Drosophila melanogaster: one gene and its partner. The protein of the gene in region 1 interacts with the protein of each later gene in a pairwise test. Each region holds a gene or a part of one and is shown in the gene's direction. Other genes may lie near its edges. The genes, in order: CG7786 and CG16815.

The links.
Region 2: the proteins of CG7786 (region 1) and CG16815 come close enough for resonance energy transfer, tested with the Drosophila melanogaster proteins (one study listed by BioGRID).

The regions. Positions count from the first base shown.
Region 1 is NT_033778.4:16,230,709-16,243,168, reverse strand, and holds CG7786 (uncharacterized protein), read left to right. Parts: upstream 1-8,232; coding exon 8,233-8,811; downstream 8,812-12,460. Other genes in the region: CG15708 (uncharacterized protein), read left to right, coding at 1,334-1,601, 1,658-2,142; krimp (krimper), read left to right, coding at 2,524-4,111, 4,183-4,835; CG3687 (uncharacterized protein), read right to left, coding at 5,825-6,080, 6,138-6,313; CG15701 (uncharacterized protein), read right to left, coding at 9,183-10,202, 10,292-12,391.
Region 2 is NT_033779.5:13,222,333-13,234,789, forward strand, and holds CG16815 (uncharacterized protein), read left to right. Parts: upstream 1-7,499; 5' UTR 7,500-7,573; coding exon 7,574-8,152; 3' UTR 8,153-8,217; downstream 8,218-12,457. Other genes in the region: CG16812 (uncharacterized protein), read left to right, coding at 397-415, 540-956, 1,013-1,600, 1,659-2,002; CG15480 (uncharacterized protein), read right to left, coding at 2,374-2,874; CG16813 (uncharacterized protein), read left to right, coding at 5,521-6,075; Prosalpha6T (proteasome alpha6 subunit, Testis-specific), read left to right, coding at 9,776-10,645; Mabi (mabiki), read right to left, coding at 11,643-12,263.

The DNA.
Region 1 (12,460 bases):
GTAAGTAAATCTAAAGAATAAACGAGAATCGAGTCAAATTATTCGGAGCACTTGTGTCAGCGAAATTCGCATCCGCCGCGAAGTCTTTACCCATTTCCACAATTTTACCAGCCGACGGTTTAATGCAAATCGCCCACAGCCTCCGGCCACGCGTGTTTTTTTTCCAAAGGATTCTCTTCTTCGCAGGATTCTTTTTACTGGCTCTAATGACATCTTCGAGGGCGTTTGGGAAAAAAAAAACATATATGGGAAGAGCACCAGCAACAAAGTCAATAAATGCAGACGCATTGGGGAGAATGACAGCGACACGCGTTGGCTTTTTAGGTGCGACTTGGCTTTCTTTGTGCGTACAACGCGGCGTATGAGCAATGTATGAGTATGAGTGCGAGTGCTAAAAAAATAGGTAAAAATGGGGTAGCAAAGGTGTTACGTGGCTGATTTTACACAGAGAAGTGTGCAGCAATACTTTTAAATGCTACATATTGCTAAGCATATTTTAATAAATTTTATTTTGTTAGAAATAATTTGAAATTGACAATATTAAATGCTTATTTGATTTGATTTTATATATTAAAATATTTAGTTCCCCCGCTTTTTAAGCTTTCCACTGTGTATTGGGGCACACGGCGGCATGTGGAGTCCTGTGTAGCCACGTGGAACCCCAAAACGGTCGCATCATGCCGTAAGTGCAGTAAAAAATCAATTTTGACAAAATGTTGAAAAACACACTCAAAGTCTTTAAAAAAAAAAAAAGCGAAATAAGTGTAGGCGAAGTTTGGCCCCTGATGAAAATCATTTGGGCGTTGGGATAAGGAGGCGTGGCACGTGAACGGAACCGATTGTTAAGATGAAGGGGTCGGCGGGGGGTGTCGAAAAATGACTGACAATAAAATGTTGACGCAGCCAAGGAGCATTATGGATACAGGGTGCTCGAAGGCGAATGGATTAAGTCGACAAGTCCACGGATGGGTGGCTCAAGTTGCCCCACTTCAAGTATTCCATTTCACAATAGCACTGAGTATACCTGCTATTCTCTGTTGGTCTTTATTGAAGGCGGGAGAACCCATATACCATATATGTACATACTTGGCTTAAGCTGATTGATGCCGAGGGTTTTTTTTTTCAATTCACACATCTGCATAAAATAAATCCTAATGCGTGTGTGCGCCAATGCTTATGTTGGTTTTAAGTTTATGGAAAACGAGTGAGTGAGCAGTTTCCCTTCAAGGATTGTGGCATCAAAAAATAATGATAACAGTAACAAAACCCATTCGTCGTCTAAAGTATTTCACTTTTGTAAAAGTATCTCTAGAGTTATATAGCGAATGGGGCCATGTCCCAGACAAATCCGAAACCAAGTGATACGCAATCACTGCGCTGTTTGCACTGCATGAAGGTGATCCGTTGCTCCCGCTACGACACCAGTGAACTGGTGCGACACATCCAACAGGATCATCCGGAGATATACGCAGTGACCACGGATAAAATCAAGAATCTGCACAAGCTGGCCGCGGATCACGGCATCAGTGAGGAGCGGCTCTCGAAGATTAGCAAGATGACGGGTCTGTCCGAGTCCCAGATGGCCGAAAAGGCAGAGAAATGTGAGAGTTTTGGGCGAGTTTCTATGATTGTCTCCTCGTAAAATTTCAATCGATAGATATGGCCAAAAAGAAGAATTATGGTCGCAGTGGTGGATCTGTCGCCGGTGACCCTGCTGCCGTCAGTGAAGCCGCCTCCTACAAAACCGAGAAGCCCAGCTCCCCATGTCCATGTTCACGTCCATTGGAGAACTCGACGTCGCATCGGAGGAAATGCTATCGCGCCTCCATCGAACGCTGGGCACCGGCGGAGGGGCGCATCTTTTGTCCGTGCTGCGCGACCAGCAGGCGGCCGCTTATCAAGGCTGCCACTGAGATCTCGAACAACGGCTGCTGTGCCGCCTGGGTGGTCTCCTGCTGGCCTCTGTGCTTCCTGCCCTGCCTCATGTCCGCGGACAACAATGAGTACCTGTACTGCGCCAATTGCCGCGCCTTTCTGGGCATCTACAATCGCGAGAAAAGCTGTGTGCAGCCCAGCAAGGAGTTTGTGTCCTGCAGCAAGTCGGTCACGGCCCCGCTCAAGTGTCCAACTGAAAACCTGTGAAAGGACTTTGAGTGGGCGTAGTACTTATTAAATTGGTTGTGTATACATCTGGCTATGTTTTTTTTTTTTAATAAAAAACAAGTTGTTCGATAATATCTACTTCTTAGTATGAGTGGTTTTTATATAAAATTAAACTAAAAAGCCAAACTTTTCTATTGGGAACATCTAAAAAGTCGATGAAATTATTGAACAGCCGCCAAATTCAAACCAATTAGCCAAGACACCAACCATAACAAGATGCATCGTTATCGACCGCGCATTTTGTTAATCGAAGCTTTCAACGCCGCAACATCGGGCAACGCTTGCCTTGCCTTCTCTTCCTCTTGCTTTTGCGCCGAATATTTTCTTTAAACTGTTTTCGTATTAAATTGTTTGTTTAAAATGAATCTGGAGGACATTTCGATGATTATGAAGCTGTTCGATAGCAACATGCACAAGCTACAGGGGAATCTACGTTCCTATCAAACCGAAATGCATCAAATTCACAAGGAGCTCACAGAAAAATTGTCGCATGCAGATCTGCTGTACAGGAGTCTCATTCCGCTGCACGATCACTTGGTGGCCAGTCTGAGCGAAGTTAATGCACACGTAATGAAACTGAATGTGCAACTACACATCAACCGCCAGTCTGTCAGATTGGGAGACTACGAATATTACGAGAAATCCATCGACAATCCATATTCGTCGATTCGCTCAGGTTTACAAGCGATCGAAAAACCGGGTTGTGCTGAAGCTATATGTCAGTCCTCGAAGCCGGCCTTCGTGGAATGTCTGCCCTCCTCCACTTCGGAGGAAGTGCCCGTCGTGGCTGTGCAGGAAGCCTCTTCGACAAACCAGCTCGACGCAATATCAGTGGTCAATGAAAACCTCTCAGAAGAGAGAGACGCTACTCCGCAGCCTTTAGCAGTTTCCAAGAACATGGAGGAGACTATGCCCTCGAATCCTTTCCACGAACAGCTTGAGGGATCTCTAGAAGAGATCCCAGTGGGCTCCAAGATTGTCGTGGAAACTGAAAAGGCCAACAATCCAGTACGTTCCGAAGCTTCCGCTCCAGCAACTTCTGACAATCAGTCCCTTCTGGCTGCAAAACAGGGAACTCAAACAATTGGCACAGGTATCTGCAACAAGATCTCCAAGAGCACCATCAACATGCCCAACAACTGGCAGCTTGAGAATCCTACTGAGGTAACTGCTGCATCGATCGAAAAGGTTAACAAGCTCCCAAAAAGTCCCAGAAACCGATTCCTATTGCCTCCCAAGGGAGGCACTGAGACGACCAGACGTGATATCTACAATCAAATCTTAAAGGACATGGCTGCATTTCCAGAGAATACTATAGTTACTGCCGTTTTAGCGAGCGTGGACGTAACGGATAATTGCGCCTATGTGGCTAAATGGGATGAAAGTTCTGATAGGATTAAGAAGGTGCTCCAGCGACAACTGCCATTGCAGGAGTTGGACCAGTTGCCCGACTACGGCGACATTTTTGCAGTTCTCGACAGTATTAACAACATCATTACTCGGATCACCATCAACTCAAGTTCTGCGGGCGGAGGATATGATGCGTATCTTATCGACTTTGGCGAGCATATTCATTTTGACGGCAACGAAACAATATTTAAACTACCGGACGACATCAAACGGTTGCCGGCACAGGCCATTAGATGCGATTTAATCAACTGTGATATCGCCAATATGCATTGCTTTGTTAATACGTATATTAAGATTCGAGTGCACGAAAACAATAATTCTACACTAGTGGCCGAACCGGTCATTGATAGGTTAAGCAGACCTACAAAAACGAACACCACTAAATATCCAGCTGGAATAACCGAGGATGACATGGCCATGCTGAATGAAATCGATGAGAGCACCAGTGATCCTCTGAAAGCAGTTCTTGGCTTTCGTCCCAAGGACGAGCAACGCATTTGCCGGCACTACGATCCCAAGCTGAATGGCTGTTTTAAGGGTAAGTTACAGAAAATTAATTGAAAAATTGGTTTACAAAGTAAAGGTTTTAATACGTGGCTTATTTGTAAGGTAACAATTGTCGTTTTGCTCATGAGCCCTTTGCTCCGAATGGCGCCACCAAAGATGTGGAGCTAGCTAGAGCTCTTCCTGAGACAATCTTTGATACAACAGTGCATTTTGAAATCGGCAGCATTGTCGGCATCCTGATCACCTTTATTAATGGCCCCACCGAGGTTTATGGCCAGTTTTTGGACGGATCTCCGCCGTTGGTGTGGGACAAAAAGGATGTGCCAGAGAACAAACGGACCTTCAAGTCGAAACCGCGTCTTCTTGACATTGTACTTGCTCTCTACAGTGATGGTTGCTTCTATCGCGCCCAGATAATCGATGAATTCCCCAGTGAGTACATGATCTTCTATGTGGATTACGGCAACACGGAGTTCGTGCCCCTAAGCTGCTTGGCTCCATGTGAAAACGTGGACAGCTTTAAGCCCCACCGCGTCTTTAGTTTTCACATTGAGGGAATTGTAAGGTCAAAAAATCTGACACACCAAAAGACAATCGAATGCATCGAGTATCTCAAGAGTAAGCTGCTAAACACGGAGATGAATGTACATCTGGTACAGCGCCTACCGGATGGCTTCCTAATTCGCTTCCTGGACGATTGGAAATATATACCTGAACAGCTATTGCAACGCAACTACGCTCAGGTTAGCCAATAAGTCGGGATAAGTCGTCGGAATAATGTTAATCAAATTTAAAGTAGACATAGTTTACATAACAATAGTTCCTAAGCTATTTGTAAGCTTTTCATTTCTGACCATGTTACAATTTAACCACTTACATTATCATGACAATGCTTACATTTCTTTCGAAGGACTCTTTTTGTTTTTGAATTATCACTACTTCGGAGCGATCCCAATAAACTGACTATGTTCGAACATGTTATCCAGATGTCATGTGGCTTGATTAATGTCCTATCTTGGGGCTGGTTCAATTATGAGCGCGGAACAGCCATTGGCAAATGACAAACACAAAACTGTCTCGAAACTAAAACAATAAAAATAATTGCCTTTAATGTGCAAAAGCAAAAAATCAAGGGACACCGTTTTGGACGTGGAAGCGCGGATCTGTCTGTCGGGTGGGGTGCTAATAGATTATGCCGCAACGATTAGAGAGGCAATAAATACCACCTGGCCGGGATCCCATGCGTGTTTGGTTCGCGGGCACATATTCGGACTGCGATGACGACAGGTCCTCCTTGTGTCCTCCGCTGTCCTGGTGTTGACAATCTAAACGGTTCGGCCAAAAGGGTAATGGGCCTGGCCAAGGGTCACATTGGGGCACAGTTCGTCGGGGATGTACTCCAGATCACAAACAGGGATAGTTGGCCTATTCACAATGGTAATACTTAAATCAGTTTCGGAAGCATTTCCCCTATAAACACCTGCGACATTCCAACCCCTGAGAATAATTAGCCTGGTTAAGTGTCAAAAGGATGGCAGACCCCGCGACATGTGTTCCCAACATAATGATGATTATGACCACCCGTACTCAACTAACTACCCCGAAACTTGGATTTGTAGGAATTTTACTAGACGATTACAATTTGGAAGAAGTGTGGAGAGTGTGTGTGGCGCGTTACTCTGCTGATCTGCAAGGAAATGAACTCAATAAACGAAATGGTTAACACAACAAAAAGTGAAATCATTTAGTAGTTGGCTCCGCGCTGGATGCAGGGTCCGCTGGAGATGGATCCCGCCTCCAGGCTCGGACAGTTGACCTTCTGCAGCTCGGCAATGCGCTGCCATGTCATGTTGAAGTGGCGCGCGGAACGGGCATTGGAGAGTTTGGCAATGGGTCCCAGGGTGCGGTATCCATTGGTAATGAAGCGTATGAATCCCTTGGCCGTTAGGTCCAGCAGAGCGGTCTTCACCTGCGACTCCAGATCGCCACAGGCAAAGGGTCTATTTAGATGATTAGCATTACCATTACCATTAAGTATATTACTCGATCTGTCTTACTCCTTTTCCAGCATCTCCAGAATGTGCTCCTCGTGGATACCATTGCTGTACTTGGGATGATCCTGGAAGATGCGCACCATGTCCAAAATATATAGCGGCAAATTGATGTGGTAGCTGTTGAAAGGAAGCCGCAAGGTGGTGGGCTCACATTCCCTGATCGATCCTTCGTCACACATTTCGTTGCTTATAAAAATACGATTTCCTTGTTCGATGAATACTTGTTAGATGAATACTATTCCGAGAGACAGGCTAAGCGAAGCCTATGCTTTGACTGTAGGATGGGGGCAGGGCCCACTTGGTCATGCCCCAGACCCCCGGGTGCTAATGTCATCCAATTAAAGGTGTCATTAACGGTTTGTCCACCGCGAAGTCCACGAGGTTTGCTCTTCAATTACTGACCAAACAAACAACGAAGCAATAACGTGTTCTACTGTCTAGATTACCCGGTAATTTGTCTAACGCATTAATAGCCTATGTCCAAAACGATCCTCCCAATGCATTAGCAATGGGTCCCCGGGGTGGGTAAAAAAAAATCGAACTCAGTCCGTAGAGTAGAAGTTTGGTGGTTTGGTAATGCCAACCAATTCAAACCGATTCCAAAACGTACTGCTTTCTATATGTGTGCATTTCGAATCCATCTCGCTCGACCCTTTGATGGATATTAGACTGCCTCCAATTCTCCAGACATGTCACTCCGGCACGCAATCCATTATTTCCGGGTTCGGCTCTCAGTTGGGCCAAAACACCATAAACGAAACATCGGTGGCATGACAGTCAAAGGGTTAACTATGTATGGCCCAAACTTTTGCCAACAGATAATAAATTAGCGCATACATTATGAAACGCCATAAGGATGCGACTTCCGGTTGCCGGAGACGGCAAGGACTCCGTGACCCAAACTGCCAATTTACCACCCCGGCAAACAAACAGGTGACACTTTCTCAAACCGAAACGAAACGGAACGGGTTAAAGACGACACACGGAGTTCATTTACATGTCGATGGTTGTTGGATATGCATACGGTGGTCTTGGATGTCGTGAGTGGCATTGTCGGAAGGCAAGTAAAATTTTACGATTTTGAAGAATCATGCTTGATCAAAATAAAGTTGGTAACAACTTTTTGATGTCTTAATAATAGCGGATTAGGCATATTGCAACTTTCTGACGCTGCAGTTTTTGGAGCTCAGCTAAAAAGGAGCAGAAGCTATTCCTCTTAGGACTATTGAAATCGATTGGTACACGCTGGAAAAATCCTTTAAGTCTCAAAAAACCTCGGAAATAAAAAGTTCACATAGAGCAATTGAAGATATATTATGCCTAGAATATCTGATAAAATGATTTGGAGTGATAGGAATCTACAAGAACTATCAGTTTAAGGATCAAAAAAAGTATATCTATTGTATAATGGTTCAAATAAGATGGCTTCATTTTAATGTAATGACTAAAAATTGCATATTCATGATTTACATTTTACATTACCCCATGTTTTGCTATATAGTAAGATATCCTAAAGGATAACTTTCAGTGAGTGCAAGTAGGCTTCCACCACGCCTCTTTCAGACTATTACCGCTGTTATCGCTGTTATATTCGTCCACAAAATGCCGGTCGATAGCCAAGGGTCACTCTCATTGGTCAGCGCATGGACAATGGGTAAGCCTTACTATCTCCGCCCCAACACATAACAGTTGGTCAACTCCAAGGGCCAAGAAGTGATCGGCGAGCGGGGAGAGGTGGACTGGACTGGGCTGGGGGCATGTAATCTGGCTAACCAGTTATATGAAGTCCTTGTAACCGGGCAGCACAAATAAATGCCATGCGGCCCCGGCCAAGTGTCATGTATTTGACGAATAATTACCGTCAACATTGCGTGATTGGTTGAATCAGCCGGCGATGGAGGGTTGTGGCTGGCTTAGAATTAGCCCCAAAGCGGGTGTATGTGTGTGTGTGTGTGTGTACGTGGGGGAGTTTGTGTGACAAGAACCTATAATTACCACGGCAGGCAGGTGGTCGCCTCGCCAGTAGCTAGCTTCTTAGCCAGGAGCTGGATTCAGATATAGCCCGGCCGTCGGCGCGAACGGAAGTCACCGATATAGGATGCACTCGCCCGCCCAGTCGCCCATTTTGGATGTCACCGAGACCGTATCGATGCACTCCGAACTGGATGCGGAACTGGAGTCCAAGAACAATCCGTCCTACTCCATTTCCATTCCCCAGAATCTTCGGCTAACCGGTCTGGGCTTTCCCGGCATGATCGGTGCCAAGAGATCGTCGGAAACTCTACCCGCCTTCGAGTATATCGCACCACCAAGTCACGCTCTCCAGGCACTGGAATTTCCGCTGATGGAGCTCAATCGTGTGGGCGTAATTGGAGGCGGTATGTTTCCGGGTTTTGTGCACCGTCGCGTCCGCGGTGAAAAGCGACCCATTCCGGAGGCTCAAAAGGATGCCAAGTACTTTGAGCGGCGCAAGCGAAACAACGAGGCGGCCAAGAGGTCCAGAGATGCGCGGAAAATCCGCGAGGATAGGATAGCATTCCGAGCAGCGCTGCTGGAGCAGGAGAACTCCATTCTGCGGGCGCAGGTCCTGGCGCTGCGGGATGAACTGCAAACGGTGCGCCAGCTCCTCGGAGCCACAACAGCCGGCGGCATGTTGTCCATGGCCAGGCAGGTGTGAACCACTCTGCGGGATCAGATGGAAAAGTGTACATATCAATGAGGGAAGCTAGTGAGATTATTTAGTTTGATGTTAATAAATGTTTAAAATAAATACTAAGGATATTCTAATAATATATGTATGCATATGCAGGTGTCCCTTAAAAAAATATGTTATTCAGATATATAAATATTGGCCCATCTATATAGAGTATTTTGCTAGTGCTAGTACTATAGTTCTATAAAGTCATATATATATCATTTATATATCACAAATTGTGCAATAGAAACCATTAAAATTGATTAAAAGTGAGTAGGACTAGTTCGAGTTTATTTCATTTTAAAAAATGATTTCAACAAACGCATACAAATAATTAGAAAATATTTAACAAGCTAGTAGTCCAGAGTGCGCGACTGCACCTTTCCAGTCGAGTCCAGGATGAGCAGAACCTGTTCCTGTCCACAACTTCGAGCACCGGCAATGTCCGTCACCTTGAGGCGTGTGTCCATGAGCTCCTCCACGGGTAACTCTCTGTCGCGATAGAAATCGTAGTGACGCACAGTGCCATTGGTGAGGGCGGAAAGCTGCCAGCCGTCGCTGGAGAGGATCAGGGCCTGGACGAGATGCTGGCGCAGACCGCTGCCACTTAGGAGCAGCTGCTGGTCAAAGACCCTCATTTCGTAGGAACGCCTGGGTCGCTCAATCAGCTCCAGAGCTGTGTTGGGTCGGGCATCGTACGTGGGATTGTCATCCATCTGCTGGTCAAATGATCTACGCTCGTTGAGTATGATGTTTTGAATGGCACACGATTTGCCCGTCTCGGGATCGGGCTCATCCGTGGCCGGCGGAAGTCCTGTTTTGGGTCTCTGCTGATTCCTCTGGCGCTGCCTCTGTCGCTGATTGCAGTTGAGTATCATCACAGATCCATTGGACAGACCCACGGCCACATAGTTCTCATTGGAGAGCACACACAACGAGGTGGGAAACAGGAAACGACTTTCGTTCACGGCGATCCTCGCGAAGCGTTCCGTCTTCAAACTACGCGTGCAGCAGAGCACAAAGTTTCGGTTGGTGCACACATAGATGAGCTCACTGCCCGTATCGATGCTGGTGAAGCGCAGGCCCTGCAATCCCTGTCCCTGGAGTGCCGTGGTCAGCGTTTGCGTGTCATTCAGCTCACGCAGCACATCATCGCTGTAGATGTTGCCCTGGAACAGGGACTTGGTCTTCTCGTACGCACTCTGATGGCTCTTCAGGAGGCGTCGCTCCAGATAGCTCCTCAGATCACAGCTGCCACTCTGCAGTAGCTTCACACGCGCCCACGGCGAACTGAACTCGTTGCTGTTGGTGGACGAGGCGCCCTCCACCAGGGTCCACATGGTCAGCAGGCCGGAGTCATTCAGCGAGGCGTACTGTCAAAGGATTGCATATATAATTAATTATATGTATTCATATAGATCTTTACATAGAATTTATAAATGAATACTACAATAAAACCTACCTGAACTTCCTTGTACGTCGTCTGCAAACCACTAGTCGCAGCTACTCCTCCAGCATTCAAGTGTGATCTAAAGCTGCGCACATCCACCACAGCGCCCAGATCCATGGCATTTACCTCCTTGTCCTGTTGCTCCGGCATGGGAACCACCGATTGTGTGGCTGCAAAATGGGTTAGGTGGCCATCCAACTTGGAGCAGTAGCTGTGCGTCTCGCGCAAATCCCACATAGCCACACTACCATCTCTCAGTCCGGCCACCACGATATCCTGGGCCTGCGCAGATAGTGCCACACGGCTGACTTCCGCCCAGGTGGAGAGCAGGCGCAACGGCTGGCTGGGATTGGCCAGTGACCACACCATCAGAAGGCTGGCAAAGTCCTCCTTATATACATTGCTGTCCGCAGGACACTCGTGCACGGTGACCACCAGTTGTCCATTTCCGGCACTTCCAAAGATTCGACGCACAGGCAGTGCGTTCAGCAGTCCCGTCTGAAGTGGTACATTTCGAGGACTATTCCCCTGGCCGTGGGCCGTGGTTTTGCCCTCCAAAACCAGTCCCATAAGTCTGCCGGCCCTGTGAAGAAACGAATTCAGTCGCTCCAGATCCGTGCTCTTGGCCAATCTCTTTTGCTGCAGTTGCTGGGAGCGTGCCTGCTCCAGGCGATGCAGTTGCTCCAATCGAGAAATGCTAGCTTCGTATTCATCTGCAGGTTGCTTGCTCCATGTTTCATCCAACTCCGCATCGACACTGCAGCTGAGAACGAATTGCCCACCATAGTGGGGTGGATGTTGGGTCCAGCTGCTACGACTGTGCACCTCCAGCGTCTGGCACTCGCCGTCCATGTGTGGTGACTGCGTCTGTGTGGCCACTTGACTGGCATTCAGCTTCCCATAGCTCTGCATGAATCCCTCGTAGCTGAGGGGCTTCATCTCGAACAGGTGGTAGTTCAGTTGATCGAAACGCAATTTGGCCATTAGCTCTTCGCCGCGACGACTGATCACGGGATGGGAAACGAATCCCGAGTAGCCACCATAGTACACGTTAGCCTCTCCACTCCGGGGCTTCTCCACGCCAGTGGTGCTAATGCCCGAGTCCAGTTGCTCTGAGTTGGCCATCGAGTTGGTATCAAAGCTATCATACTGATTCTGCGTGGACAGACTGCTCAAGGGATTCCTGCGCAAATGCATGTCATAATGACCGGAGTCCAATTTCCGCTCTTGATCCTTGTCGCGTTGGATCACAGTGATGGGATTTTGGGTGGGCTCCGAATCCTCTTCCTCCCGCTCCTCCTCCACTTCCGCCTCGGAGGATGAGGGCTCCTGCGCTTCATCGGATTCCACCTCGTCGGGCGTGCTGGCATCGGTTTCGAAATCCGATTCATAGGATTCGAAGTCATCGGAGTAGTGATCGGATTCCGGTTCTGGCTTTTTGGCTTCATCGAATTTGACTTCAAAGGCCACTGGCTGTTTCACAGGCTCTGATTCCTTGGCCTCCACTTCGCTTCTTTGCTTGGCGGATTCACGCTTAAGGATAACCACTTCCTCGGGATCCAAGGTGCGTGTATAAGTTCTGGATCTTGCCGGAACAATACGAGCATCTCCCTTGGAAGGAGACTGTGGCTTGTGCTCCTTTTGAGTCTGTGCAACAGGGGAATATTCTTTTGATGAAGGCGTGGGCGATTCCTTCTCCTGCTCCGCCTGTCCTCTGCGCTTTTGCGGTGGCGAGGCGACCGTAACACTGTGATACGTGTCCAGAACTGCATTGGGCTTCGATTTGGCCACGAGCTTCGTGGTCTTGGTGGTCTTGGACTGCAGGGGTGGGTTTGTGGTCGTGGTTGTGTGTCTGGTGGTGGCACGCAATGCACCTGGGGACGGAGTGGTCCTCTTGCTCAAGGACTCCCTTTCCTTGTTTTTCCCCGTGGCTAATGGCTTTTTGCTGGCGGTCGTAGGTTGCGCTGCTGTTGTGGTTTTCCTCGCAATTTTTTCACCTTCCAAGCTATCCGGTTGTTTGGCCAGTGACCTCCGCTCCTTCGATTCCCTTGTGGTGGCCGGTCCACTTGTTGCTGGTGATTTAGTGACCTTCCTTGGCACTTCCGTTTTGACCTGCAATTCGAAAAGATTTTTGAAATCATAACGTCTTGTCGGGGTGCTCAGCACTATTTCTTAGCATTT
Region 2 (12,457 bases), on another chromosome or scaffold:
TCCATGAAAAAATCCTTTTTATACTAACTTCTTTTAATATGTACACCGTACGTATGTAAGAGTAAATAAATAATTAAGCATATATTGCCAAAGTGTACTACATTAAATCACGATATATAGAAATTTAATAAGGATTTTAATAAGATTCTTTAAATTTAAATTTGAACAGTGTTTGCTTTGATTACCCCTACTACAACATTTTGGAATTTAACAACACTAACACATGGTCTAATCGATATCCGATAACCGAATACCGATAATCGTTCAGGATTTGTGGTAACTCTAAAATATATAAATAGTTTCGAGTGCAAAAAACGGAATTTATGGGAATAAAATAAATAAATAGTAGCTGAATCGTGTAAGAATCTGTGCTTGCCAGCACCAGAAATACGCAAAATGTCCAAGTCAAGCGCAGGTGGGTTTATAACATCGTGAAAACGAAACAAACTGAACAGACGCTTCCGGGTGCGAAACAAAAATAAAGACCTAAAAAATATCACACACTTTAAAAATAATGAACTCACCACCGAAAATTACAGCACGCTGGGTAAAATTCTTCAATGCGGCCGGCATCCCATCTCCTGCGGCTGCCGGCTATGCCCACGTCTTCGTGGAGAACCGCATCCAGGACGACATGCTGTTGGATCTTAACAAGGAGTATCTCCGGGAAATGGGCATAACCTTGATGGGCGATATAATCGCCATCCTGCGGCACTCAAAGACCGTCTGCGAACAGAATGCCCGGGAACAGGTCCTCACAACGGAGGTGGTTCAATCAGTTGTCCGACCGGTATCGCCAAAACCCAAAGCGCCGGTTGCAACTCCAAAAGCAAAGGTTTATCCGCCTGCGAAACCTGCAAGACGGGTGCTTCCGGAGCACGAGGGCAAGTACAAGGTGACACTGCCCTCGGGAACCACCGAGCGCAGCAAACAGATCTTAGCCAAGCGGGAAAAATGTAAGATTACAGATTTCTAAAGAACAAGATCAAATTTTCAATATATCTTCTTTTAGTATACTCCGATCGTGTGAGCAGCTCCAAAAAGTCGGACATATTTACGCGCCTGCATGCCGAGGACGAGGCGCAGGAGGGCATTGTCTCCAGTTCGGGCGAGAGCAGCGTCCGCGTGCACGTTGCCGGCGCATCAAAAACAGCGGCCACCTCCAGCAATAATTCGGTCTTCGCTCGACTCGGTGGCAAGCAGGGCGCTCTTCCGGAGGAGTTCACTTCGACCAGGGAAATCAAATCGATCCTTAAAAACACACACCGTACAGTTGGTGGTGGAGGAGGAGGAGGAGGGGTCACCAAGAACTCGCCCATTGTGAAAGCGAAGAAGGTGGCCGCTGTAACGCAGCAAAAGGTCATGCTAGTTCACAAAGTGCCTCTTAAAAAAGGCGACGACGACGATGATAGCATGGACGATTTCGAAAGTGACGAAGAGGATTACATGTCCAGCGGAGAAGATTTTGATATGGGAGCCGGCGAAAAGATTGTTAAGTTCGCCTCGACAGCGGAGGTTCGGGAAATCGTTCCCGAATCGGCATACAAAAATAGGCAGGGCAAAAGTTTTGCGAATAATATTAAATCAAGGCTCGGAATGGGTATGTTTGCTTCAGAGCAGAAGTGGCACAGTCAATTAATTTATAACATTTTTTTTAGTATCCAAACTTCATGCCACGAAGAAGACATACAACCTAAAGGCATCGCCTGCAAGGAAACCACAGGCTCGACTCAGTCCTGTTAAGGGCAAGACCATACGCATGCGCAGCGACGAGCTGTTTAGCCGACAGGACACGGTGCCCGTCCACAGGAGGCTTGGAAAAACCGCGACCTCCGCTCCCCTTAGAGCTCCACCAGCTCCGCCACATCGACAGCCGCGACCGGAGCCACAGAAGAAATATGTTCCGCCAAGGCGCCATAACAGCATGAATGCTGGTCACAGCAGGCAGCGAGATCAATCTGGCTCTGTTTTTGACCGCCTTGGCTTCAATAACTCTATGTAAAGTTTAAGTAAATGTGAGCCTCATTAAATTTGCCAGTACATGTTTGAATTAAAATAGAAGTTGATTTGAAATGTATGAAATGAATGAGAAATGGCAGGATTTTTGATCCTGATCTCATTATTTCAGTTTAAACTCCTGATTGTTTTGAATACCCGATTAGTATCCATCGCAAGCTGTCAGAACATAAAACCAATTGATTAACTTTATGATGAAAAACTATTTATTTTGTTTAAAATTATATGTATCTACAATTACGCTAGAATTTCGCATTCGTTCATATTGTACAATCTGTCCGCGGTCACTTAAAGGTCTATATCACTGGTTGCTAAGCAAATCACTCCGTTTCGAATGTGTTTATGTGCGCATCAAGCTCATTGCTGCAGCAGAGCCTGGAGGGCCTGGCGCCATTCCAGTGGCCAGGTGTTGGCATCCGGATTGATGTTGAGCAGTTGACGCATCTGGAGCACGGCACGTTGCTTTTGTAGCATGTAAGCGTATGCCTGGTGATTGAAGACCGGCGAATGGGTGACCGGAATTTGGGTTACCGGAACTTGGGTGGCAGGAAGCGGATGTTGCTGGTGCTGCGGTGGCGTGGTTGGTGGTGTGGGAGGCAATGAGTGGTGATGGTACAATGGTTGCTCCTGCATCTGCTGAACCTCTCGCTCCGTCTCCTGGCGACGCTTTCGTGGTGTATTTTCGCTGAGGGCATATGGCCGGAATAGGGGCGTGGCATTGGCTGGGTTGGGGGCGATATCCTTGGAGCTCTTCTTGCCAAACTTTTTGTGCGTATAGCCGGCGGTTTTGAACTTCTTGTGGGTGTAGCTCTCGCCAACTTCCGACTCGTTGTGGTAATCCATGTTCGAAGGTGCCATGATTGGGGTTTTAAGTTGTGTTGTTTGTTGAGTTGTTTTCACGACGGCTGTTAAGGCTCGACTATGCTCCTGCTGCTGCGCAACCAGGTTTTTATACCAACGAGATCAGAGGTCCTACCTGAAAACACTATCATTAAGAGCGAACATGCGCCCTGTTTATGGGAAACTCTTCGTTGACAAAAGGTTGGCATTGTCGTAGGGAGAATAAAAGGATTTCGGCATACATCCATACACTACGAGTACCTGTGACCATTGCTGGCCGACTACTACTACCTGCTCATCTGAAAGTCCTTTGTAATTAATTTTTCATTTGCTGCAGCGCGCTGCTCGCACCTTCTATTGTGTCTGCCTAGTCCGTCCGGGTTTTCTTGGAAATTTCCCTGCCGACTTTCTCGAGAAGCGTTTTCTACCTCGAAATCTGGCCAGCGCCTGCGCTTGCCACTCTTTGATGCTGGGCCACGTTGTCTGGACGCTTCGGAATCTGGATTCTTATCTCGCTTACCGCTAATCTGCCTCATTAAGTTCTCGTCCAGGGTATCCGGGTATACCTTTATGTACCTTCGGCAAAATGCCAGCCGCTGCTTAGTCACAATGGTCATTGAATGGAAATTTATTGGGATTTTCCCGAATCGATGGGTGCGCGTCTGGCCTAGTCTGTTCACGGGATTTCTTGGATTCTTTTCTTTTTTGTATAATAGTAGAGTCATAATTTATGGAAAAGCAAGAAATTTTGTTTATAATATGTCACTCACTATATGATTATTATACATTAATTAAACATTATTTTTTGTTGGTTTGCGATCATGAAAGATTGGTAATGTAGAAATTAAAATATTGCTATATGAAATCAGACTATAAGGTTTTCATTTTATACTTTTTCAAAACTAAACCTTCAAAGTGAAAATCTTGTGATATAAACAATAGAATATTGCTATACTGCATTATACTATAAGGGTTATAACCGACTTTAAATATCATTAGTAAAGATAATGTTTTATGATATACAAGTACATAAATATGTAAACACACACACATATAGGTTTTTCTTAAAGCAGTTTATTTATTGTTTAAAATTTTTAATACATTTAAATGCAGTTCGAATTTTCATTATTGTAAATACGTTTACTACTGCTTTTACTATTTTACAACTATACGAATTTAAAAATATATACATATATCCTTAACTTTTCTATTCCCTTTTTAAGTGAATTCTTAAAAGTAATCTTTGGACTTAATTTAATATTCTAAACCATTCAAAGTGAATAATCCTTGGTATATTTATACAAGGTTATCCTGGACGCAAGTTGATACAATCGTTGCTATCATACAAAGTTATATATTCTCGATTCTGGATCATAATATTTTAAATAGACATTTTTACCTATTTATTTTCATCTACATAATTCCTTCTTGTTTCTCAGAAAAAAGCAAACTTTTCAAGGCTAAAATTTCCCATCGCTGAAAAGATCTACTCCTTAGAAAAATATATGGGAATCTATTTTCCCATCCACCATCCTGTTAATACAACATTATATAAGACAACCTTTAATTGTATCATTGGTGAAAGCACTTCCTGGTAGGATATTATTGCTCTTTTTAAGGTCATTCCCCTTGAAGGAATGAACAACACCTACCCTGGAGGACCCAATGCAATCGATTCTCTGCGTTCCAGAACAGATGAAAATTGATCAATATAATAAAAGGAAAACAATCAAACAATACGACAATCTTTCACTGTAATACTTCAACTGAACAAATAACCAACTCCCACTCCGCTCCTGCTTATTGACTTTGGGATTCCTCGAGGAGGGCTCGTCTCAAGCCCACCTGAAATAAATCCGCTTAGGCGGAGGAACACTGAAATGTGAGAACCATCTACCACATATACATTCGTTCCCTGACGGCATAAATCAATGGACAATGGACCATTGAATGAAACGGAAAAATCCGACATAATGCCAAAGACACGAAACCAGGGAGCAGAGGGAGGAGCATTCAGTAATTGCCGGTTTTCTAGGTTTGCTAGTATGTACATGTACCGGGAGATTCAGAAACTCCGAGACGGTTTTTCTTCAGCTGTCCAAGCTGAAAGTCATAAACGCTTGTTGTTCGAATCGAGATCGGGCATTGAAAACTGCAGCATGTCTGCTATTCAGGTGCCACAAAGAAAGCCGAAACAATAGCGGGTCGGCCGGCAGACAGCCTGGACGAATTGAGCGCCAGGATTAGAGATTACACAGGGATCCTCTACACAGAGATCCCTTTTTCGGGCCCGACAACAGGTAATTTCGTCGAAAATCGTCGGCCACGTAAACAGACGAGGCAAGGACAACAACTGGTTTATGACACCCTTTGAGAAGATTGCCAGCCTGCGGATTAGGAACTCCCTATTCCCAATTCAGGTAACAGCAGCCGATTAGTTTTGGTCCCATTTTTAGGGAATGAATGAAATGCGTTGGGGAAATACCTGATCCGTTTTACCGTGATCCCCAGGTACGTGATGGGAAAATCTTTGCCATTTGGCCATTCCGTTTTCGTGGGAGGCTCTGCAAGTTACCTAATGTTGCATAAAACGGATGGCCAGGAGGAGGGGCAGCACAGTCGTCTCGAAGACAGCAAAGCGAACACCACTACTCTTAATCAAGAATGGATAACTATAACCACAAGAAATTCACTGGAGCTCTGAAGCGAAAGCGCAGCATGGATGCGGACTCTGATGACGATGTGGTCTTCATTATGGAACAGCCGGGCCAACGCACTCCAGAGCAGCCGCAGCCTAAGCGTCGCTTCTTCCGACCCTGGATGGATGAGTCTCCGGAAGAGGAGCAACCACAGCCGCCACGTAAGATTGTGGCTACATCGACACCGCCGCCACAACAAGTGGATGGCACCTACCACGCTAACATGGTGCGCAATCACCACAAGCGCCGCCAGCGCAGTCCACAGGAGCAACTGCGTCGGGATCGCAACACCTTGGCCAGCCTGCGCCATCGACGCTCCCAGCAGCAACAGCAGCAGCTCATCGAACAACAATACCTGACCAGTCGCATTCAGCACGAGGCCAATCTGCAGCAGCAGATCCGCCTGAGTCTCTACTATGTGCGCTTCCTGCAGCAGGCGATGGCCTCCACGGAGCCACTGCCTCCCACACAGCCAAGGCACATGATGCCGCGCCAACAGACCACCACCCAGCATCCTTGAAGGGTGGACATGGTGCAACGACTGGGCGCTGCTCAATGCGCCCTAACTTATTGTAGAAAAGCTGAATAGTGATTGTGATTACTTTTAAAGTTTAATTTATTTATCTGGTTGACTAAACAATAAACACACTAATTGTTATCGAAATAACTTGTAATTTTTATAGAATTTTGTAATAATTGGTTTTTAGTTGGTTTCTGATTGATTGAAATCTAACTCGGGGTCTTATTTATTGAATCTTATTTGGAAGTCTGATATTTCTTTTCCGCCGTTTAACATCATGAGGATTTGTTCTAGACCAAAACTGACCGGAAGCATCAGCTCATAAGAGTTACCTCACTTGGTTTTTCTGCCATTATATAACATTAAATACATCTTATGTAATTAATTTCTTGGAAGCGCAATTTGCAATGCTAATTAAGGTGTGAAGTAATTCTAGTGATTCACATAGCCAGACTACAGTGAGAATTGAATCGATTCGGCACGAGTGACATATTGTGGGAAACACGGAATAAAATTGTAATTTATTTCAGTTGGATTTAATTATTTAATTTATAAACAAATCAGCATAGCGAACGAACAAAGTGCTTGCAAAATAATTAAAACACGGTGACAATAAGATCCGCCTTTATATTTAAATAATCATCAATGAAATCATCATATTGTTGTCCGCGATTAAAAATTGCGCAGATAAATAAATCTTAATATACTAAATTATTTACACGAATAGTGTTTTACTAATTCATTTATATATATGATATATGCCGTATACATGTTTGTACGAAGTTTATTTAACTCTTTAAATATTTTTAAAGGCGTGTTTTACTACCTAAACTAATAAATGGATTAAATATATTTAATTCACCTCTCAAGACTTCCATGAATGCAATTCCTTCTCCGTAAACTGAAATCGCATCTGTCAGCAGTCTTTAAAAATCCTTGACACTTTTTTCTAACCACCGACCAGGACATATAATGCCATGTCATTCTAGAGGAAAAGTGTTCGGCAAAGGACCCTCGAGAATTTCCAGGGAATTAAAACAAAGTGTGCTGAGGAACCAGGAGCCAAAGGGACCACACACGGTGCCACAACAAATTGTGTCATGCAGGTCAATAAAAAAATGCATCGCCTGCATAACAGTTGTTCGGTCCAGAACTTTCCTGTTCCGGTGGCCACATTTGTCCGATAATCCAGGTAATCCACACACCAAAAAAAGGATAATGAGGCAATCCTGCGACGACAATTAGCGCTGTGATAGAGCAGGTCATAAAATATGCTGCTTAATCCAGGACGGAGATTACCTAATGCGGAATGGATGCGCTAATCCCTTTGTTGACAGACCCAAAACAAAGGGATTTCCCTATGTGGCTACCTGTACCGCCTACCTACTGTGCTTATAACCAGGATATCAATCTCGAAGCCAATCATTCAGCAAGCGATCGTCCAACGAGTCACATCATCACCACAACTCATTCGGAGTCATATTATCGAAATACAAAAATGGAGAACTCATCGAGCTACACCCACAAGAAGTTTGCCGTCAGCAAGCGGAAACGGGAAGTGGACCATGACAAGGAGAACCAAACTCAGCAGTCGGAACAGCCGATCTTCAAGCGCCGTCAGACACAGGGATTCTTCCGACCTTGGTTGGATAATGAGCAGAACCAACAGGCGGAGAAGGAGACGTCAACGGCGGCGAAACCCAGTGGCCCAGGATCCTCGGTCAGCCAGTACCGTGCCAACATGGTGCGCCGCAGTAACACCAATCGTCAGCGAAGCCCCAAGGAGCAGATGCGCCGCGATAGAAACACGCTGGCTTGCCTACTCAGCCGGCGGGCCAAGCAGGCACAGGAGGAGCAAGTGGGTCAGCAGTACGAGCAGTATCGGAGTCATCATGCCGCCATGCTGGAACAGCAGGTGCGCCTCAGTCTATACTACCGCCACATCCTCCAACAGGCGGTGTTCCAGCGTGCCATAAATCCGGCACCGGGTCACATCCTGCCGCAGCAGCAACAACAGTTCCTCCAGCAGATGGCCCTCTCCCAGCAGATGCTCATCTTTGGTGGCCAGCACTGCTGACCGTCCAAAATCATATCATAATCAGCGACTATGGATAGCCCAATCATGTGATTTAGTTTATTAAGCCTTAATTATTAATATTTATTGTTGACTTTGAAATAAATCAAAAGTTATGCATTTAATTTAAATTGCCGGTTTTGTTAACTGGGGGTTATCACTTGGAAAATTCGAAATTTAATCTAAAATGATTGTTAAATTTGTTAGGAGGTCAGTGGATCGCAACCATTACATTTTTTTACATATGTATAATAATGCTATATATATTAGGATTTTAAACATCTTTAAGTTAACCCACCGGCTTGAAAAATAGTAAAATTATATAAAATGATTAAGAGATCAATTATCATTTCTAATTTAATTACAACCTAATCGTGATCATAATATATAAAATTTATGGTATAATTTTTAGCTCAATAAAACTAAAAGTACTGCTATCAAAAGTAGATTATCTATTATTTGATATGACTTTTGGTAAAAAAGGGCTCAATCAAGGGCTCAAAAACCACTTACTCCAGTGACTTGTCTGACCACTGGAGTAAGTGAGTCATCGAAGCATTGACAGATTTTTCCGAGAAACCATTTACCCAGAGTGCCATTACCCAGCAAAGTTCAACTAATTGTTGTCTAGCTAATTTTCATGGCGTTCTCATTTCGTGGCGGCTTTCGTCAAGGTTCAAACCCGCCACAAAGAACCACATTTTGGACTGGGCCAAGCTTTTTGGCATCGCCTTCAACGCGGTGGATTGTTGGCTAATGATATTGACAGAGATCGGATGTGGCGATATGGAGATATAGACAAAGTCCAAGCAAAGCTTCAAGTTCAATTGGCCAGTGAGACGGAGTTTTGCAAGCACACACAGCTCGAAGCGCAGAAATGCAATTTTCAATGTTAGGCCAGTTGGAAAAAAAGAAGAAAAAAGCCAAAAACAAAAAAACCAAATGCAGCCACAAAAAAAAAAACTCAACAATTAACTGAAATTGATGTTTGGCTGCATGGTACAAGTGCAAAGTGGTTTACTGGGTTGTTGGAGTTGCGACGGAAATTTGCGCCATAGGAAGTCGGACTGCCACAAGTACTATCAATGAAAATTAAAAGTAATTAACTGCTCGCGCACAGCGATTGCGCAATCGCCAAAAGAGTTAATTATGTTATGTGCAGGGGGCTTCCCCGGCAGCATGAATACTTCGACTAAATCATAGCTCCTATTTTTCACTCACAGCCCGATGCAGTTGGCTGCATATGAGGCGGGTGCACTCAGTGACGAACATCAGCCTATGTTTTTTCCATCGGATCACCCGAACTTCCTCATAGACCGTTGATTTTCTACATGGTTAGGCATTATGCAAGTTAGCTGGAGTGAAAGCAAAGTTAGGATTGCAATTGGCTTTTCTCTTGGTATGCATCGAAACCCTTTCTTTGTGACCTCATTCTATGAAATTAGTTAGAATTGGCCATTACAAATTGATTAATTAACAATTACACGAGTAAATATTTTAAGAAATTCTATGAATAAGCAAACCCTTGAAATTAATATCAGTTTTCAATTACTTTCAACTCAAGCTAGACAAATTTGCAACTAACAAGCTAACGTTATTTCGCTGAATTCATTCACACTTTTGGCCATGTTCCGGAATCAGTATGACAACGACACAACCACTTGGAGTCCGCAGGGTCGTCTCTTCCAGGTGGAGTACGCAATGGAGGCGGTGAAACAGGGAGCAGCCACCGTGGGACTCAAGGGCACCGACTATGCCGTGCTGGCCGCCCTGTGCCGCACCTCAAAGGACACGAACACGCTCCAGCGGAAGATCATGCCGGTGGATGACCACGTGGGTATGTCTATCGCAGGACTAACGGCAGATGCCCGCGTGGTGTGCCAGTACATGAGGACGGAGTGCATGGCATATCGGCACTCCTATAACGCAGAATTTCCGGTTCGCCGTTTGGTTTCCAATCTGGGTAACAAGCTGCAGACCACCACCCAGCGCTATGATCGTCGTCCCTACGGTGTGGGCTTGCTGGTGGCTGGATACGATGAGCAGGGACCACATATCTACCAGGTGATGCCCACGGCCAATGTGCTCAACTGCAAGGCAATGGCCATTGGATCTCGTTCGCAGAGTGCTCGCACATATCTGGAGCGAAATATGGAGAGTTTCGAGGACTGCGACATGGATGAACTGATATGTCATGCCATTCAGGCCATTCGAGGATCGTTGGGTTCCGATGATGTCGAGAATCTCACCATAAATGTGGCCATTGTGGGCAAGGATGTGCCGTTTAAAATGTTTACGGAAGCCGAGAACCAGAAGTATGTGAAATTGGTCAAGGCTATGGATCCACCTCTGGAGGCGGACCACGATCCTCTATCCGAGGAGGGAATGAGCGATGATGACATGACGGACCACGGACCGAGTAGCAGTGGAGTTCCACCCAATGATACATCTGACATGGAAACCACTGCATCCACCGGCGGCAGTGACGCACATTGATCTAATCTGTGATTAGAAACCCTGACAGAGTATACTAAATTTATTGTTTCGTTAATAATGTTATTAAAGTTTATAGTTATTATGTTGTATGGCTGCTTCGTTTTTGTCAAAGAAAAAAACAAGAAACGGTTAGCAAGGAAATTGAATTCTGAATTAGTTTTAATAGCATGTATAGCATATATATTCATCTTATGGAACCTAATCGGATTAAAATAATGGAAACACTATAGCACTTGCCATTCCTATTAATACGTTGAAATTTTCCACAGGGATTAGGGGTTATGCAAATGAAAGCCTTTAGCGTGACCAATTCGATTACAATGTATTTGAAAATATCGTAGCTACTAATAGCTAAAGTGTTTAGTTTAACTTTAAGTGCGACAATGACAGCTGAGCGATGGACGGGAATAGGAGTAGTTATTATTTAAGCCCACATTCCCGTAGCTGCGGTTTCAATCGGTTTACGGCTCTATTGCCAGTGGTTTGACCAGGGTGCAGGGTTAATACCCAGTGAACTTTATCCGACTGGCTTGATATTCTCCATGGGGGGAGGCAATAGTCGATGGGGTCACCAATAACGATTTGCTCCAGGGGCTGATGATTGCCTGTGACACCACGCGAACTACCCCTGGGGATTAATTGGGATTTATTTCGATGGCTCCACGCTTTATTATATTTTATTAAATTTATTTATATATATTTTTAATATATTCATTGCTTCATTAGCGCTTGATTACTTTTTCTGCCAATGTCATAAATTAATATTTATACCATTTTTAGAAGGAAGATTAAAAGTCAAGCACACGATAAAAAATCAATTAGCCGTAAAAATTAAATCCTCATATTTTATTTATTAAGAAGTTCCTGCTTAACCTTTTAAGGCATTTATACTAAATATATACTAAATTTCTTAGCACTAAAAGTTCTTGAAGAAACTTAACAACTTAGCATTAATATAATAACTATATAATACAATCCTAAAAGGAGATGGACGTATCTAAGCATGCTCCTGTTTAATACCACCTATCAGGTAGTCGATGCTAAAGTTACTCTTGGTATTCTCCTCCGGAACTCTCCTTGAGGATACTAGCGGGTGGTCTTCCTGCTTGACCAGCTGCTTCAGATGATTCAAATAGACCCTGGCACGCAGACTCTGTTCGGCGATCTTGAGGTGCTCATCGGAGCACTCCTTGTACTGCTGTTCGATCTGCAGGTCATCGAACTTCTTCTTCCGTCGACTCATCCTGCAGGCAATTGTGTTCTTGTTGCGGCGCTCCTGATCCTTCGGTGAACGCTCCTTCTTCGGGAATTTTCGCACCATATTGACGTGGTACTTGAAGATGTCTTGGATGGCCTCGGTTATGATGGGGCTGGCGGATTGGTAGGAAACGCTTGAGGATGAGGATCCCAAACGACGACGCTTTGGCAGTGGAGGAAAGTCAGCATCCTGATCACTGAAACCCAAGCTGACGGACTGATTTGCCGCATCGAAAGGACTCCGACTGGTGCAGGGTGTGCCGCTCCGGGAGATTAGCTCTTCCTTCAGCTGCAAATCGCATTTCTCAATCTTTCGACCCATGTCGAACTTTTTGTGGCGATAGATCTGATGGTGCTCCATTGTATGGTATGATATGCTATGGTTATGCTATGTGTGTTCTACTCGAAGACTCTCGATTGAATGCTGTCCTGTGGATTGGTACACTAGCTTATATGGCGAAAGCCTTATCTGCCGCTCTTCGTAATCCCCCCACAACTTTTATAACTTTGTTTACACAAATCGACGACGAATTTTCTTTTTGCAAAACGAAAACA